Macaca fascicularis: one gene and its partners. The protein of the gene in region 3 binds, or shares a complex with, the protein of the main gene of each other region. Links are inferred from orthologs where the notes say so. Each region holds a gene or a part of one and is shown on either strand. Other genes may lie near its edges.

Region 1 (3,568 bases), on a different chromosome or scaffold from region 3:
AGAGGTATTGCTTGCTTATTTCTTCCTCCTACTCCTCTGACCATCTCTCATTCATTCCTGCTAGTTCTTCCTGAGTTCTTCCTTGGACTTCTCTTTTCTGACTTTGCTCCCTCTCTAGGTGATCTCATTGAGTCTTAGGAATTTAAATACCATGTGGATGCCTATGCCTCCCACCTGTGTATCTTCAGGTTAGACCTCCCTAAATTCCAGACTCAGTGTATCTATTTTACCTATTTTACTTGATATCTAATGTGAACTCCCAGCTTGTTCAAAACTGAGCTCTGATCGATCCTAGGTTCTTCCTGTAGTCTTTCCTTACTAAATTAATAAATGTGTTTTTCCATTATCACTGGAAACTTCCAGAGTCTTACTTAGCCCAAAATCTCTGAGGCATCTTTAATTCCTCTCTCTGATATCCCACACTAGATGCATCAGGTATCCTGTCAGTTCTATATTCTAAATATATCTAAGTCTGACCACTTCTTTTCAACTCCATTGGACCCATCCTGTCTAAGCTGCTATCCTCTTTCCCCTGGATTACTGGGTTAATATGCCTATCTCCTACTTTTGCCCTTTCCCCCTTGTGGTCGATTCTCAATCCAGAACCAGAGTTATCCTGCTAAAATCAAGTCATATGTGATACTCTGCTCAGAATCTTCCAGTGACTCTGTTTCATTCAGAGTAAAAACTAAAGTCCTTATTTTTACTTACAAGGTCCTTTACAATGTGTCTCTATGTTGTTAACTCTGTCATTATCTCCTACTGCTCTTTCCATCATTCTCTCTGATCTAGCCATATTGGCCTCTTTCCTAGCCCTGGAACTGTCAGATTTGCATGCAGCTCAGGGCTTTTAAGTGTGCTATCCTGTCTGCCTGGAATGCTCTTTCCATAAGTCTTGCTCCTTCACCTCTTCCAGATCTTTATTCTCAGTGAAATCTTCCACTATTTCCTAACAAAAATTTCAGTCTCTGCTTCTGATACTTAATATTCCCATTGCTTAACTTTTAACATTATATAACATACTGTATACTTAATTTCTTTGTCTTTTTTATACTCTGTCTCCCCCATGAGGACATAAGCTCCAGGAGGAAAGGAAATTTTGTTTGTTTTGGTCACAGCCAATGCCTGGCACATAGTAAGCACGCAATATATACTCACTGGATGGAATGAATGAAAGGATTTAGATAGTTTTCAGGCTTGTAATTATTGTATTACTTCAGTTTTTCCTTAAGGGATTTTGTGTGTGTGTGTGTGTCTGTGTTTTGGAGAAAAGCATTGGGATCAATGGTATGAATGAATTCCTGGTTACATACTGACCTTATTTTAAATTGTTTCTGAAGCCAAGGTGCTGTTGCTCTGAATTTACTTATACCCAAAATTCCTTGTAATATTTTGTGAAGTTCTGATTATAGGCATTGTTTCTTTTAATTACTTGATTCTGTTTCATTCTTACTTTTCTGTACAGTGAATCTTCTCAACTGTTATACCTGTTGGAACACACCTGGAAAGATGCCAAGTTCATTTTGCAGATCATGTGTGAGCTAAATGTTCTTCCATTAGCATTGCAGATCACTAACATCGCTGGGAACATTATGGTAAATTTAACTTAGAAAGGGGGAAAAAGCATTTCCTGTTGGATTCAGTATTTGCTTGGGGTAGTTGTTATATGATAATGAGTCTAGATGCATGCTTATAAAATGAGTAACTTAGATTCCGAAAGCTGTATTTCTTTTGTAAAAGGAAGAACTGGTTGGGAGAAGGGGAGGAATGCCAGGTGCAGCGTGTTGAAATTTGGGCGAACATACGGATCATCTCTCTAACATCTGGATGTGTCTGTTTAGTGGAATGGTCCATTTGGGAGTAAATAAATAGCCAAGTTGTCAATATTTTAAGCTGTCTTTGTCTCCTTTAACTATAATGCTTAAAGAAAACGTTAGGAATAATTTAGTACCTTTTTTAAAAAACAGCCCGTTATTAGGAATAGTTTTAAAGGAGGTGCTGTGACTAAACTTACTGACTCAAAGTTGCTTTTGTTAGTTGTGGTTTTGAGCTCAAATTTAAAAAATAAATTCCATTTAATAGTCCAGGACGCTGATGGGTGGACGATCCGAGCGTAACGAGTTCTTGTTGCTTCATGCATTTTACGAAAACAACTATATTGTGCCTGACAAGCAGATTTTCAGAAAGCCTCAGCAAAAACTGGTGGGTCCAAAACTGTGTAGTATTTTGTTTTCTCTTACCCCCTCCCTTTTTAATACCTATTTACCCCCCCCCTTTTTTTAATACTTAGATAGCCTTTTTTTCTGTGATAACATCTGCTTTCAAAATAGCTAATCCCTTGTGTACTGTAGAAACCATGTCAAGTTTATTCCCTTGTTTTTGTGTGGTCATTTCCTTTTCCACTTTGTAAAAGGAAAATGCACTTTGTGCAGGCAAAATTATTTGTGAAATATGAAATTCTTTGAGGGAAGCATTAGACCTCTCTGATGGGTGACCATACACGGAATGTGTTCTGGCACCTTAGCCCTATCCAAAGATAAATGCCAGTTAAACTTTTTATTTTCTTAAACCCTATGAGCCTTTATTTTTGTGTTGCATTTTTCTGTACTAGTATGACCAAGGTCACCCACAGTCAGGTTTCTGAAGTAGCCTCCATCACTTTGGAACTAAAACTTAGTTTAGCTACTGTTTTATTAGCACTGATATTAATTAATTCAGAAATGGGAATTGAATGTTAAAATTTGATTCAGGTTCTCATATTTGCTTGTTTTTTAGTGTACATTATCAAAATTGGTATAGGGAATATTCATTTAGAGGACTTTAACTTCTGCTGAGTTATTGAATGTTGGCCAGTAATAAACTACTTAGGAATGGATTTTCAGTATATGGATGTACTTATTTTATGGTGTCCATATTAATAATAGGGATAATGATAATGTCTACATGAAGCATTTTATGTTTTTACATCATGAATATTAGAGTAGTGATTTTAAGAGGGCTGTTTTATAATCTCAAATTTTGTATAATATGAAAAGTGGTATTTTTCGATATTCATTGATTTAAAAATATGAAATTCTGTAAATTCAGAAACATAAAGATAAAATTTTTGTATTTGTTAACTCAGGATGTAGTATTTGTTTAAGAAATTACTATGCTTGGAATTCATTTGGATTCATGAACATATTACAATAACTGTCTTTCCCAACAGTTAGGACCAGTAACTGAAATGTTTGTTAGAACTAAGTCCTGCAATTGGAAAAGAGAGAATCATCAAAATTTTAAATTAGTTAATTAGTGGTGAAGCTATCTTTCCATTTGATATTAGGGAGATGAAGATGAAGAAATTGATGGAGATACCAATAAATATAAGAAAGGACGTAAGAAAGCAGCTTATGCTGGAGGCTTGGTTTTGGACCCCAAAGTTGGTAAGGCTGGGCAGTGAATTGGTTTTCTCCCAATATTAAGGAGTTTCTTAATGTGGATCTAGGCTTGAGAAACTAGAAGACCTGAATTATATCTTACAGGTCAGCAAATAGGTCTCATGACTTTTATCTTTGATTCATGTGAA
Region 2 (3,568 bases), on a different chromosome or scaffold from region 3:
CTTAAAAATACTGAAAAAAATTCTATCACAAAATTTTGCCTGATGAAACACTTTTTAAGTTTATGAGAGAGACTCTTCATTTGGGATTTTAAATTGGAAAGGATTTTATTGGGAGGAAGGACTTTTGATACTTTTCCTGCAAAAAAAAGATAATATTTATAAGAAACAATTAATGAAACCCACACTTGAATTTGATACAGGTTTTTGGAATTTGAGCTCTATGGGCCAGTTAAATCTAAGATTTTTGTTTGGTAGTTGGTTTTTTTAAGTTAACAGTGCCACCCAGAGGTAGTAAAGTTAGTTGCTTTTTTTAAAACTGTTTTTCCCCACATATTAATTTTGGTCACATAATTTAGTTATGGCTGTCTTTGTTTTAATTAATAGGCTTATCAAGTGAGACTCTTGAATTGCTTACTATCCCAAGATAATAATTGGTAAATTACTTACCAGTTTTGGTTCTAGAGTTTTTCTTCTATAAAAAAGCATATGTAGTTTATGAAATTTATATAATAAATACATTGCTGACAATCTGTGAAAATCTCCTAAAAATGTGAAATCATATTTTGCATCCAGTAGGGTAATTATTTTATTATATAACAGTAACACCCCTTAGTATCTGCCTTATAAATGAACATTTTATTGCTTTTAAATATTGTGGTATACATGTGCATATTAAATTTTATGAAATTATAAATTGTAAAGCCATGAGCAAAGTGTCCTTTGCAAAGTTAATCTGATCAAAGTTGCCTTAAAAAATTTGGTGTCTTTTATTTGGCATTTATAAAGACACCTCAAGCCAAAGGAGTGCCCCATTTCCCCATTTCCTTTTCTTTTTTTTTCTCTTTTCTCTCTCTTTTTTTTTTTTTTTTGAGCTAGGGTCTCATGCCATTGCCTAGGCTGGAGTACAGTGGTGCCATCTCGGCTCACTGCAGCCTCAACCTCTGTGGGCTCAGGTGATCCTTCCACCTCAGCCTCCTGAGAAGCTGGGACTATAGGCACATGCCACCATGCCTGGCTAATTTTTTTGTAGATATGGGGTTTTACCAAGTTGCTCAGGCTGGTCTCAGACTTCTGGGCTCAGGTGATCTGCCCGCCTTGACCTCTCAAATTGCTAGGATTACAGGCATGAGCCACCATACCAGCCCCTATTTTCTAACATAAAATGAATATTTTGAAGTTACATTAAATGCATGAAGTATTTTATGTTATTTAAAAATAATGCAGCTGGGCTCGAAGCATTCTGTATTTAATCCTTTTAATTTTTAACACCCCCTATACCTTGTACCCAACACATCCCTAGAAGATTGTGATATGTGGTATTGATATTCTCCTTACCATGATAGAGGACTTGCATGTTTTTAACTGCTGTCCATTAGCATCTTGCTTATGTCTGAATATTGTTTTATAAACATTTCTTAGATTTAATAATCACTGGATTTTTAGTTTGTACTCATGCTTTCTGTCTTCATTTCAGTGAAGAACTTAGACGCTGGTTCATTCAACAAGAAATGGATCTCCTTCGATTTAGATTCAGCATTTTACCCAAGGATAAAATTCAGGATTTCTTAAAGGATAGCCAATTGCAGTTTGAGGCTGTAAGTATATTTTTGTAGTTATTTCTAATTGTTCTCACTGTTCATTTTTCCCTTCTGTCTTAAGTGCTGGTACTAATGTGTGGTGTATTCTCTTTACATTCTGCAAGTACCTGTCTGAAACAGTAGCTAATAGCTTTGGATAACAATATGTCTTTCCTTCTCTATGACTAGAAGAAAAGGGGCTCCTTAATAACACAGTCTCACATTTAGTTCCTCTGTTAAATATGTGCTTTATTAAAGCACAAGAAGGTTTAGTTTATAAAGGTTCACCTTTAACCAAAATTTTGTTGGCCAAAAAATTTCAAAATTAATAATGTGTTAAACTAGACAAGTGATGGTTATTTATTTATAGTTGTGAAATTTAGAGGAGGTAACACTTTATATAAAAGTCAGTTGTCAAGCGGGGCATGGTACCTCACACCTGTAATCCCAGCACTTTGGGAGTCTGCGGTGGGCAGATCACTTGAAGTCAAAAGTTCGAGACCATCCTGGCCAACATGGTGAAACCCCCACTCTACAAAAAATATAAAAGTTAGCCAGGTATGGTGCTGCGTGCCCGTAATCCCAGCTAGTCAGGAGGCTAAGGCATGAAAATTGCTTGAACCCGAGAGGTGGAGGCTGTGATGGGCTGAGATCATGCCACTGCACTCCAATCTGGGCAACAGAGCAAGACTCCATCTCAAAAAAAAAAAAAAAAAACAACAAAAACCCAAAAAACAAAAAGTCAGTTGTGAGTAAAATCTGTCTGAATAGTTTTGCAGATAAATCTGAATGATTTACGTATTGTAATTATATAAAAAAGAAGAGACCTTTGGGACTCATTTAACAGGGATAAGTATTGGAAATAGAATTTATATCTTTTTTTTTTTTTTTTTTTGAGATGGAGCCTCACTCTGTCATTCAGGTGGGAATGCAGTGGTGTGATCTCGGCTCACTGCAACCTCCACCTCCTAGGTTCAAGCGATTCTCCTGCCTCAGCCTCCTGAGTTGCTGGGACTACAGGTGTGTGCCACCATGTCCGGCTAATTTTTGTATTTTTAGAGACATGGTTTCACCATGTTGGCCAGGCTGGTCTCAAACCCCTGACCTCGGGTGATATGCCCGCCTCAGCCTCCCAAAGTGCTGGGATTACAGGTGTGAGCCTCTGTGCCTGGCCTAGAATTTATGTCTTTTAGGTAGATACATGCCACAATGGGAATGTAGAAAAATTCCGTTTTGGAAGTTTTAGAGCAGTCAGATGGTAGTAGGACTGGCTGAGACTCTGTTTTGTTGTTGGAATGCATGGCTTGAAGCCAAATAAAGTAAAAAAGTAGAAGTTGCAATAGGTGAAAGACATTGTTCTGTCTGACAAGTAGAAGACATATCCACTGTTCAAGGAACACTATGGAGTATATGAGTTAGGGAAAAGAGACTGTGAAGGGAAGTGAACAAACATTCTGTAGACGTTTAGTATTGAATATATGCTAGGGAGGCAGTTTCTATAGTTTCTTTCATTTGCTTCATGAGGTTTCTAAGTCACATCTACCTTTGCATAGACAGATGTCATGCATGGTACCATCTGAACCAAAACCATTGCATCTTCCATTTTGTTTTTAACTTTTATCCTTGGTGAAGTCCATTATTGCAATTATCAATTACAGTTAATTTATCCGTTCATATTAGAAATAGTTTATTTTTTGCTTCTGTTGAAATTACTGATTTTTAGTAGTTTATAGAGAGAAGTGTCCTTGAGAAGGTCTATTATTTATTCTAGAGCAGCTATCTCCAACCTTTTTGGCACCAGGGACTGGTTTTGTGGAAGACAATTTTTCCACGGACTGAGATAGCAGGGTGGGGAGGGATGTGGATAGTTTTGGGATGAACTGTTCCACCTCAGATCATCAGGCATTAGATTCTCATACGGAATGCACATCTTAGATCCCTCACATGTGCAGTTCATAGTAGGGTTCCCACTCCTATAAGAATCTAATGTC
Region 3 (3,568 bases):
TAGAAGGAAGTGTTGGAGGACTTGGAAGGAAATAATTGAGGGAAGGCAGGGAAGCACAATCACTGGGAAAGATGAGACTTCCTCTCTTTTCTCCCAAGAGTGGGAACAGAACAGACGAAGCCATAGGGACAGAGATTTTAGCTCAATTAATAAAGAACTTCCTGTTAGGAGGTTGTATGGTATGTGGCTAAGGATATGGCTCTAGAGCCAAATTTCTGGTCTCAAACCCAAGCTTCACCCACAGTTTGACCTTGACTAAATTATCTAACTTCTCTGTTGCTTGTTTTCCTCATCTGTAAAATGGGTACAATAATATCCACCTGATGGTTGTTGCAAGGATTAAATGAGTTAATATATATAAAATGCCTAAGAATACATTTTAGAATAGTGCATGGTATTTAGTAAGCTCAAGAAATGTTATCTATTATTAAGTAGTTATAGCTGTCCAAAGATGCAGTGTGCTGCCCTGGGATGGTGAGGACCAGGTGGGGTGGGCATCCAGGGGCAAGTTCCCCTACACTAGAGATGCTCACACTTAGGCATCCTCCTCGGAGGGCTCAAGTGCTGGGTTGGTGGGTGGACAAGATGCCCTTTCAGAGTTCTTCCATCCTGAGAGTCAGTGATGATGCTGTAGTCACCTCAGGGTCAAAGCAATGCCCTGCCAAAAAATGTATTTGTTGTTTGCAGTTTGTTTTGCTATTCATCCTATTGACTTCAGATTTTGAGCTCCTGCTCCAAAGACTGTCGTTCTTATGCTGTGACCTTCCTTTGGTAGGAGCCTGTCACTCTGCTGGGCCAGATTGGCTGTGATAGCAACGGGAAACTGAACAACAAGTCAGTGATTCTCGAGGGAGACCGGGAACATTCCTCGGGTGCTCAAATCTCAGTGGATTTATCTGAGCTTAAGGAATATTCTCTGTTTCCCGGACAGGTGAGATTGGAGGAGTTCCACCAGGATGCAGGTGCACTCTTTACTCCTGAAGAGTACGTGCTGTGCCATGTGCAGCTGCTCCTTAGTTCCTGTCTCTGCTGCCATGGGGTGTGGGTGGAGCACATGCCCCAGAGCAGACACCACTGTTGGGATTTCCATTTCCCCCATGCTCTGACCGAGGCTCTGGGACCCAACTGCCCAGCCTCAAATCCTAACTCCCCACTCCATGAGGTGCATACCTGTGGGCAAGGTACTTAACCATCTAAACCACAGTATCTTCACTCACAACATGGAAATAATAATTCTTACCTCATAGAATTGTTGTGAAAATTAGATCACGTATGTAGAGCATAATTATTATTACTAATGCAACGCCCTTAATTTGTTTTCTGCAAAAATGCCCTAAGTTTATGATTACAGATTAAAAGTAGTTGGACAATGCTTTTTTTTTTTTTTTTTTTTTTTGAGATGGAGTCTCGCTCTGTGCCCCAGGCTGGAGTGCAGTGGCGCAATTTCGGCTCACTGAAAGCTCTGCCTCCCAGGTTCACGCCATTCTCCTGCCTCAGCCTCCTGAGTAGCTGGGACTACAGGCGCCCACCACTGCACCCGGCTAATTTTTTGTATTTTTAGTAGAGACGGGGTTTCACCGTGTTAGCCAGAATGGTCTCGATCTCCTGACCTTGTGATCCGCCCGCCTCGGCCTCCCAAAGTGCTGGGATTACAGGCATGAGCCACCGCGCCCGGCCTGGACAATGCTTTTAACTGCCTCAAAATAATGTATTCCAGACCTCGTTGATCTCCACTGCTTAGCAATCCTGTTTGTTTTTGTCTTTCAGGTTGTAATTATGGAAGGAATCAACACCACTGGTAGGAAACTTGTTGCCACCAAACTCTATGAGGTACACAGCGTACCCCCACTTGCCTCTTGGTTTGCTTCAGGCAAAGTGTGTCTGGAAGCTGTCTGTTCTAGAAACTGGTCCTTTTTAGGAGCCCATTTATTTGTTAGTCAGTTCTCCATCTGTAAGTGGAAATCTACCCCTGGGCCAGGGGTCAGCAAACTCTTTCTGTAAAGGGCCAGACAGTAATTCTTTTAGACTTTGTAGCTACATGGTCTCTGTCACAATGACTCAACTCTGCCTTTGTCTACAAAAGCAGCCACAGAGAACTCTTAAACAGATGACTGTGGCTGTGTTCCAATAAAACTTTATTTAAATAGTGGGCTAGAGCCAGATTTGGCCCAGAGGCCATAAGCTGACCTATCCCTGCTCTAGGCAACAATCCTCCAGAGATTTTCATAGAATGCCAGGAAAAGTAGCAAGACACCCTCCCATTCTTGCCTAGAAGTACACTGATACTTTAGGTACCTGTTTTGCTCCCACTTGTCGCTGGGTGTTTTATGACAATTGAGTAGTGACCTCCGATTACCTGGGTTTCTTCGCCCTCTGAGCAGTATAGAAAAATGGCAGGTCCTGGCCGGGTGCGGTAACTCACGCCTGTAATCCCAGCACTTTGGGAGGCCAAGGTGGGTGGATCACAAGGTCAGGAAATCGAGACCATCCTGGCTAACACAATGAAACCCCATCTCTACTAAAAATATAAAAAATTAGCCAGGCGTGGCGGCGTGTGCCTGTAGTCCCAGCTACTCGGGAGGCTGAGGCAGGAGAATGGCATGAACCCGGGAGGCAGAGCTTGCAGTGAGCCAAAATGGCACCACTGCACTCCAGCCTGGGTGACAGAGGGAGACTCCATCTCAAAAAAAAAGAAAAGGAAAGAAAGAAAAGAAAAATGGCAGGTCCCATCAGATCTAAGGAGCAAGACAGAGGCACATCCTTCCCCTGCCCTCGCTCCTCCTCACTGTCCTCCCATCACACCTACATCACCCCCCAACCCGGTGCCCTCCCCTTTCCTTACCAAGGTGATGCCTGGCGCAAGACCTTACTTGAGCTTTTCACTTGTTTTTAGGGTGTGCCACTTCCATTTTATCAGCCCACTGAAGAGGATGGAGGTGAGTTTCAGTTCAAATACTGTTTTTGCAAACAGTGAGGGTGGTAGACATGAGTCCAGGAGTGCAGTTTCCCGAGCCCAAGAAAGCTGCAGAAGCTGCTGAAGAGCAATGTGACCAAGCGGTGAGGGTACCACCATCAGTGAGTTCGTAGGTTTTTTGTCACAAGACCCCTGATCTGAGCCCAGTGAGCGTTGGTCGTGCTGTCACCTGAATTCTGCCTACATGAAGCATGTTGTGTTTTTTTTTTTTTTTTTTGAGACGGAGTCTCGCTCTGCCACCCAGGCTGGAGTGCAGTGGCCGGATCTCAGCTCACTGCAAGCTCCGCCTCCCGGGTTCACGCCATTCTCCTGCCTCAGCCTCCCGAGTAGCTGGGACTACAGGCACCCGCCACCTCGCCCGGCTAGTTTTTTGTAGTTTTTAGTAGAGACGGGGTTTCACAGTGTCAGCCAGGATGGTCTCGATCTCCTGACCTCGTGATCCGCCCGTCTCGGCCTCCCAAAGTGCTGGGATTACAGGCTTGAGCCACCGCGCCCGGCCGAAGCATGTTATTTAAAGACTAATGTCTAACAGGTATTTTTGAAGGTTGCCTTGGAAAGGAAAAAGATGTACAATTTCAAGAAGAATTTCTTTAC
Region 4 (3,366 bases), on a different chromosome or scaffold from region 3:
CCAGCTACTCAGGAGGCTGAGGCAGGAGAATGGCATGAACTGGGGAGACGGAGCTTGCAGTGAGCCGAGATCGCGCCACTGCACTTCAACCTGGGGGACAGAGTGAGACTCCATCTCCAAAAAAAAAAAAAAAAAGAAAAGAAACTTAGTTGCATTTTCATGTTATTGCTGCCACTATGCTAATTATAATGTACATTCTTCATAATTTAGATTATAAGAAGACCAGTCTAGCACCTTATGTAAAAGTTTTTGAACATTTTCTTGAAAACCTGGATAAATCTCGAAAAGGAGAACTTCTTAAGAAGAGTGGTAAGACTCTATACCTTTCCCTTCTATCTAGTTAGATCTTAGTATTAGTAGAAAAGGGCAATTTTTGAGTTCTAGTATTTCTTTGCCCTCCTCCCAAAATTTACTGATTTATCTTACTATCCTTAATGTTTTGGAAATTGAGGTTCCTTAATTCAATTTAACACATAGTTATTAAACACATTCTAAGTATCAGGTCTACAAGGGAGACAAAGATGAATTAATATCATGCCCCCTTGCCCTTAAGAAGTACTAACTTGGCTGGGCACGGTGGCTCACGCCTGTAATCCCAGCACTTTGGGAGACCAAGGCAGTTGGATCACTTGAGGTCAGGAGTTTGAGACCAGCCTGGCCAACATGATGAAACCCTTTTCTACTAAAAATACAAAAAATTAGCTGGGCGTGGGGGTAGCCACCTGTAATCCCAGCTATTCAGGAGGTGGAGACATGAGAATCGCTTGAACCAGGGAGGCAGAGATTGCAATGAGCTGAAATCGCACCATTGCACTCCAGCATGGGCAACAGAGCGAGACTGCATCTCAAAAAAAAAAAGAAGTACTAACTTAGTACAAAACAAAAATGTACAAAATGCTAAGAAAGAGATTTTATCTGACGGACTCTGAGATTTCATATGAAAATAGTGGTATCTGAACTCCTTTCAGTGAGCTGCTGTAAGAATTCTAATCCCTAGCCGGGTGCAGTGGCTCACACCTGTAATCCCAGCACTTTGGGATGCTGAGGCAGGTGGATCGCCTGAGGTCAGGAGTTCAAAACCAGCCTGGCCAACATAGTAAAACCCCATCTCTACTAAAAATACAAAAAATTAGCTGGGTGTGGTGGCGGGCACCTATAATCCCAGCTACTAGGGAAGCTGAGGCAGGAGAATCGCTTGAACCCAGGAGGTGGAGGTTGCAGTGAGCGGAGATCATGCCATTGCACTCCAGCCTGGGCAACAAGAGCAAAACTCTGTCTCAAAAAAAAAAAAAAAATCCCTAGGCCGTACATGGCGGCTCACACCTATAATCCCAGCATTTTGGGAGACCGAAGCGGGCGGATCACTTGAAGTCAGGAATTCAAGACCAGCCTGGCCAACATGGTGAAACCCCGCCTCTACTAAAAATACAAAAATTAGCCAGGCGCGTTATTGCGTGCCTGTAATCCCAGCTACTTAGGAGGCTGAGGCAGGAGAATCGCTTGAAGCCGGGAGGTGGAGGTTGCAGTGAGCCAAGATCACACTATTGTACTCCAGCCTGGGTGACAGAGCAAGACTCCATCTCAAAAAAAAAAAAAAGATCTAATCCCTAATGCCAATATACTATACCATCAGGTATGAGAAGGATTTCCACAAGCAGAAATTTGATGAGATAAGGGTATGGAGGTGGAAAAAGGCCAAGGGTTGTTCATTCTTGAAGGAACAGCAAGAGCAAAGGAAAGCATCCAGTCACTCTGGAAGCCATCAAGTAGTACAGCTAATCTAGTAAACGGTGTGTCCAGGAGTGATGGGCTATAAATCCAAAGAAGCAAGCTGAATGGCCTTGAATTCCAAGCTTAGGTGTTTGGGCTTCGTTTTGGGCTTAATAGGAAGCTTTTAAAGGTTCTGAGGAAGGGAATGCCATGATTTGTAGTTTTTATCCAGACAGATAAATCTGGGCAAGGCAGGGACTAGAATAGAGCCCAAGAGGCCAACTGAGCTATTGCCACTAAAACATTAGCACTGAAGATCTCCAAAAGGTGCAAATACTGGAACCATCCTTGAGACTTGCTAATGATTTAGAAGTGAAGAGATGAAAGATGGAAGGGAAAATGTTATAGAAGCCAGGGAAAAGAAAAGTGCAAGATTATCAAGTGTCAGGTACAGTAGGAAACTAATAAAATCTTGCTGCATGTAATAGCTGGAAGGAAACGCAAAGAGGATAGCAGTGCCAAATGAAGAGTACTCTGAATGGGAGACATCTGAGTATATGTATAAACCAATAGGAAAAAAACCAGCAGATTGAATATTATTCAAGAGGATACTCTAGAAAACTGTGGCAATGTTATAGCAATACAATTATCTTGCCACTTCATTTTTTATTTCAGTATGTGATAGTTTAAGCAGTAGTGCCTAAGATAATGCTCTACTCAGTAGACACTTACATGTGTAATTATTGAATGAACGACTCTAAGCTTGGAAAGCCCGGTTGAAACTGCCATTGCAACTGGCCGTATTAAGTCCTTTGTATCCACACTATTCCGTATTAGCTCAGCCTATAATGTGGACTTCAGCAAATGTGTAAGCAAATCTTTGTGCACGATGTGAGTTAAATAGAAGCATTAGGCAAAAAAGAATGTAAAAATAAATGGGCTTTGTTTTGTTTTCCTTTGCTGTTCTTCCATATATTATCTATTCTATTTTAGATTTACAAAAAGATTTCTGAAGACAGAGCTCCTCAAACCAATGTGGATATCTTCTGCCTTCAACAACAGATCAAATACTTCAAAAGCCATTTAATAAATACAGCAGAACTATGTATGTGTCTTAAACCTCAAAGTACATTTTCCTTTACTTGAGAAATAATTTATGTTGAAAAGATTTCCTGGCCGGGCGCAGTGGCTCACACCTGTAATCCCAGCACTTTGGGAGGCTGAGGCAGGCGGATCACCTGAGGTCAGTAGTTCAAGACTAGCCTGGCCAACATGGCGAAACCCCCATCTCTACAAAAACCACAAAAATTAGTCGGGTGTGGTGGTGCATACAGTAATCCTAGCTACTCGGGAGGCCGAGGCAGGAGAATTGCTTGAACCCAGGAGGGAGAGGTTGCAGTGAGCCGAGATCGCAGCCAATGGGTGACAGGCGAGACTCCATCTCAAAAAAGAAACAAAACAAAAAAAAATAAGATTTCCTGAGACCACCAAAGGAGAGTGTCAAGGTTCCTGGAAGGAGAAATAAAAGGAGGCATAAGTGGATTGCAGATAATTTTGTAAAATTTAATATTATACAAGGATAATTCTAAGGCTTCTAATATAAATACCCAGTTCTACTATTTGCCATATATAGAGGTAAGTGAGCAGTAATAGGAC

Evidence for each region.
Region 1: the proteins of POLA2 (region 3) and POLA1 are in contact, whole or in part, in a cryo-EM structure (PDB 8G99), measured with the Xenopus laevis proteins. The link is inferred for Macaca fascicularis from reciprocal best matches to the Homo sapiens genes POLA2 and POLA1. Residues at the interface, in XP_018112289.1 of Xenopus laevis: Met280, Tyr281, Lys282, Phe283, Met284, Phe285, Gln286, Lys287, Leu288, Met289, Ile291, Arg292, Val295, Ser296, Ile299, Glu314, Thr316, Leu320, Pro321, Gln323, Glu324, Thr325, Val326, Gln331, Gly333, Cys334, Asp335, Ser336, Asn337, Gly338; in NP_001082055.1 of Xenopus laevis: Gln548, Lys551, His553, Gln554, Asn555, Phe642, Glu645, Val646, Gln649, Asn652, Leu673, Gly675, Arg676, Phe679, Lys1137, Asp1141, Pro1143, Asp1144, Ile1321, Gln1322, His1324, Asn1325, Lys1326, Leu1328, Leu1329, Arg1332, Ile1335, Lys1336, Tyr1338, Tyr1339.
Region 2: POLA2 (region 3) and PRIM2 share a complex: the UniProt entries of both Homo sapiens proteins name them as parts of the alpha DNA polymerase complex. The link is inferred for Macaca fascicularis from reciprocal best matches to the Homo sapiens genes POLA2 and PRIM2.
Region 4: POLA2 (region 3) and PRIM1 share a complex: the UniProt entries of both Homo sapiens proteins name them as parts of the alpha DNA polymerase complex. The link is inferred for Macaca fascicularis from reciprocal best matches to the Homo sapiens genes POLA2 and PRIM1.

What each region holds. Positions count from the first base shown.
Region 1 is NC_088395.1:24,696,060-24,699,627, forward strand, and holds part of POLA1 (DNA polymerase alpha catalytic subunit), read left to right. Parts: intron 1-1,465; coding exon 1,466-1,595; intron 1,596-2,082; coding exon 2,083-2,202; intron 2,203-3,325; coding exon 3,326-3,425; intron 3,426-3,568. UniProt on the Homo sapiens protein: Catalytic subunit of the DNA polymerase alpha complex (also known as the alpha DNA polymerase-primase complex) which plays an essential role in the initiation of DNA synthesis.
Region 2 is NC_088378.1:114,411,286-114,414,853, reverse strand, and holds part of PRIM2 (DNA primase large subunit), read left to right. Parts: intron 1-1,474; coding exon 1,475-1,595; intron 1,596-3,568. UniProt on the Homo sapiens protein: Regulatory subunit of the DNA primase complex and component of the DNA polymerase alpha complex (also known as the alpha DNA polymerase-primase complex) which play an essential role in the initiation of DNA synthesis.
Region 3 is NC_088388.1:9,091,513-9,095,080, reverse strand, and holds part of POLA2 (DNA polymerase alpha subunit B), read left to right. Parts: intron 1-775; coding exon 776-931; intron 932-1,767; coding exon 1,768-1,830; intron 1,831-2,893; coding exon 2,894-2,936; intron 2,937-3,568. UniProt on the Homo sapiens protein: Accessory subunit of the DNA polymerase alpha complex (also known as the alpha DNA polymerase-primase complex) which plays an essential role in the initiation of DNA synthesis.
Region 4 is NC_088385.1:63,540,091-63,543,456, reverse strand, and holds the end of PRIM1 (DNA primase small subunit), read left to right. Parts: intron 1-210; coding exon 211-309; intron 310-2,703; coding exon 2,704-2,723; 3' UTR 2,724-2,816; downstream 2,817-3,366. UniProt on the Homo sapiens protein: Catalytic subunit of the DNA primase complex and component of the DNA polymerase alpha complex (also known as the alpha DNA polymerase-primase complex - primosome/replisome) which play an essential role in the initiation of DNA synthesis.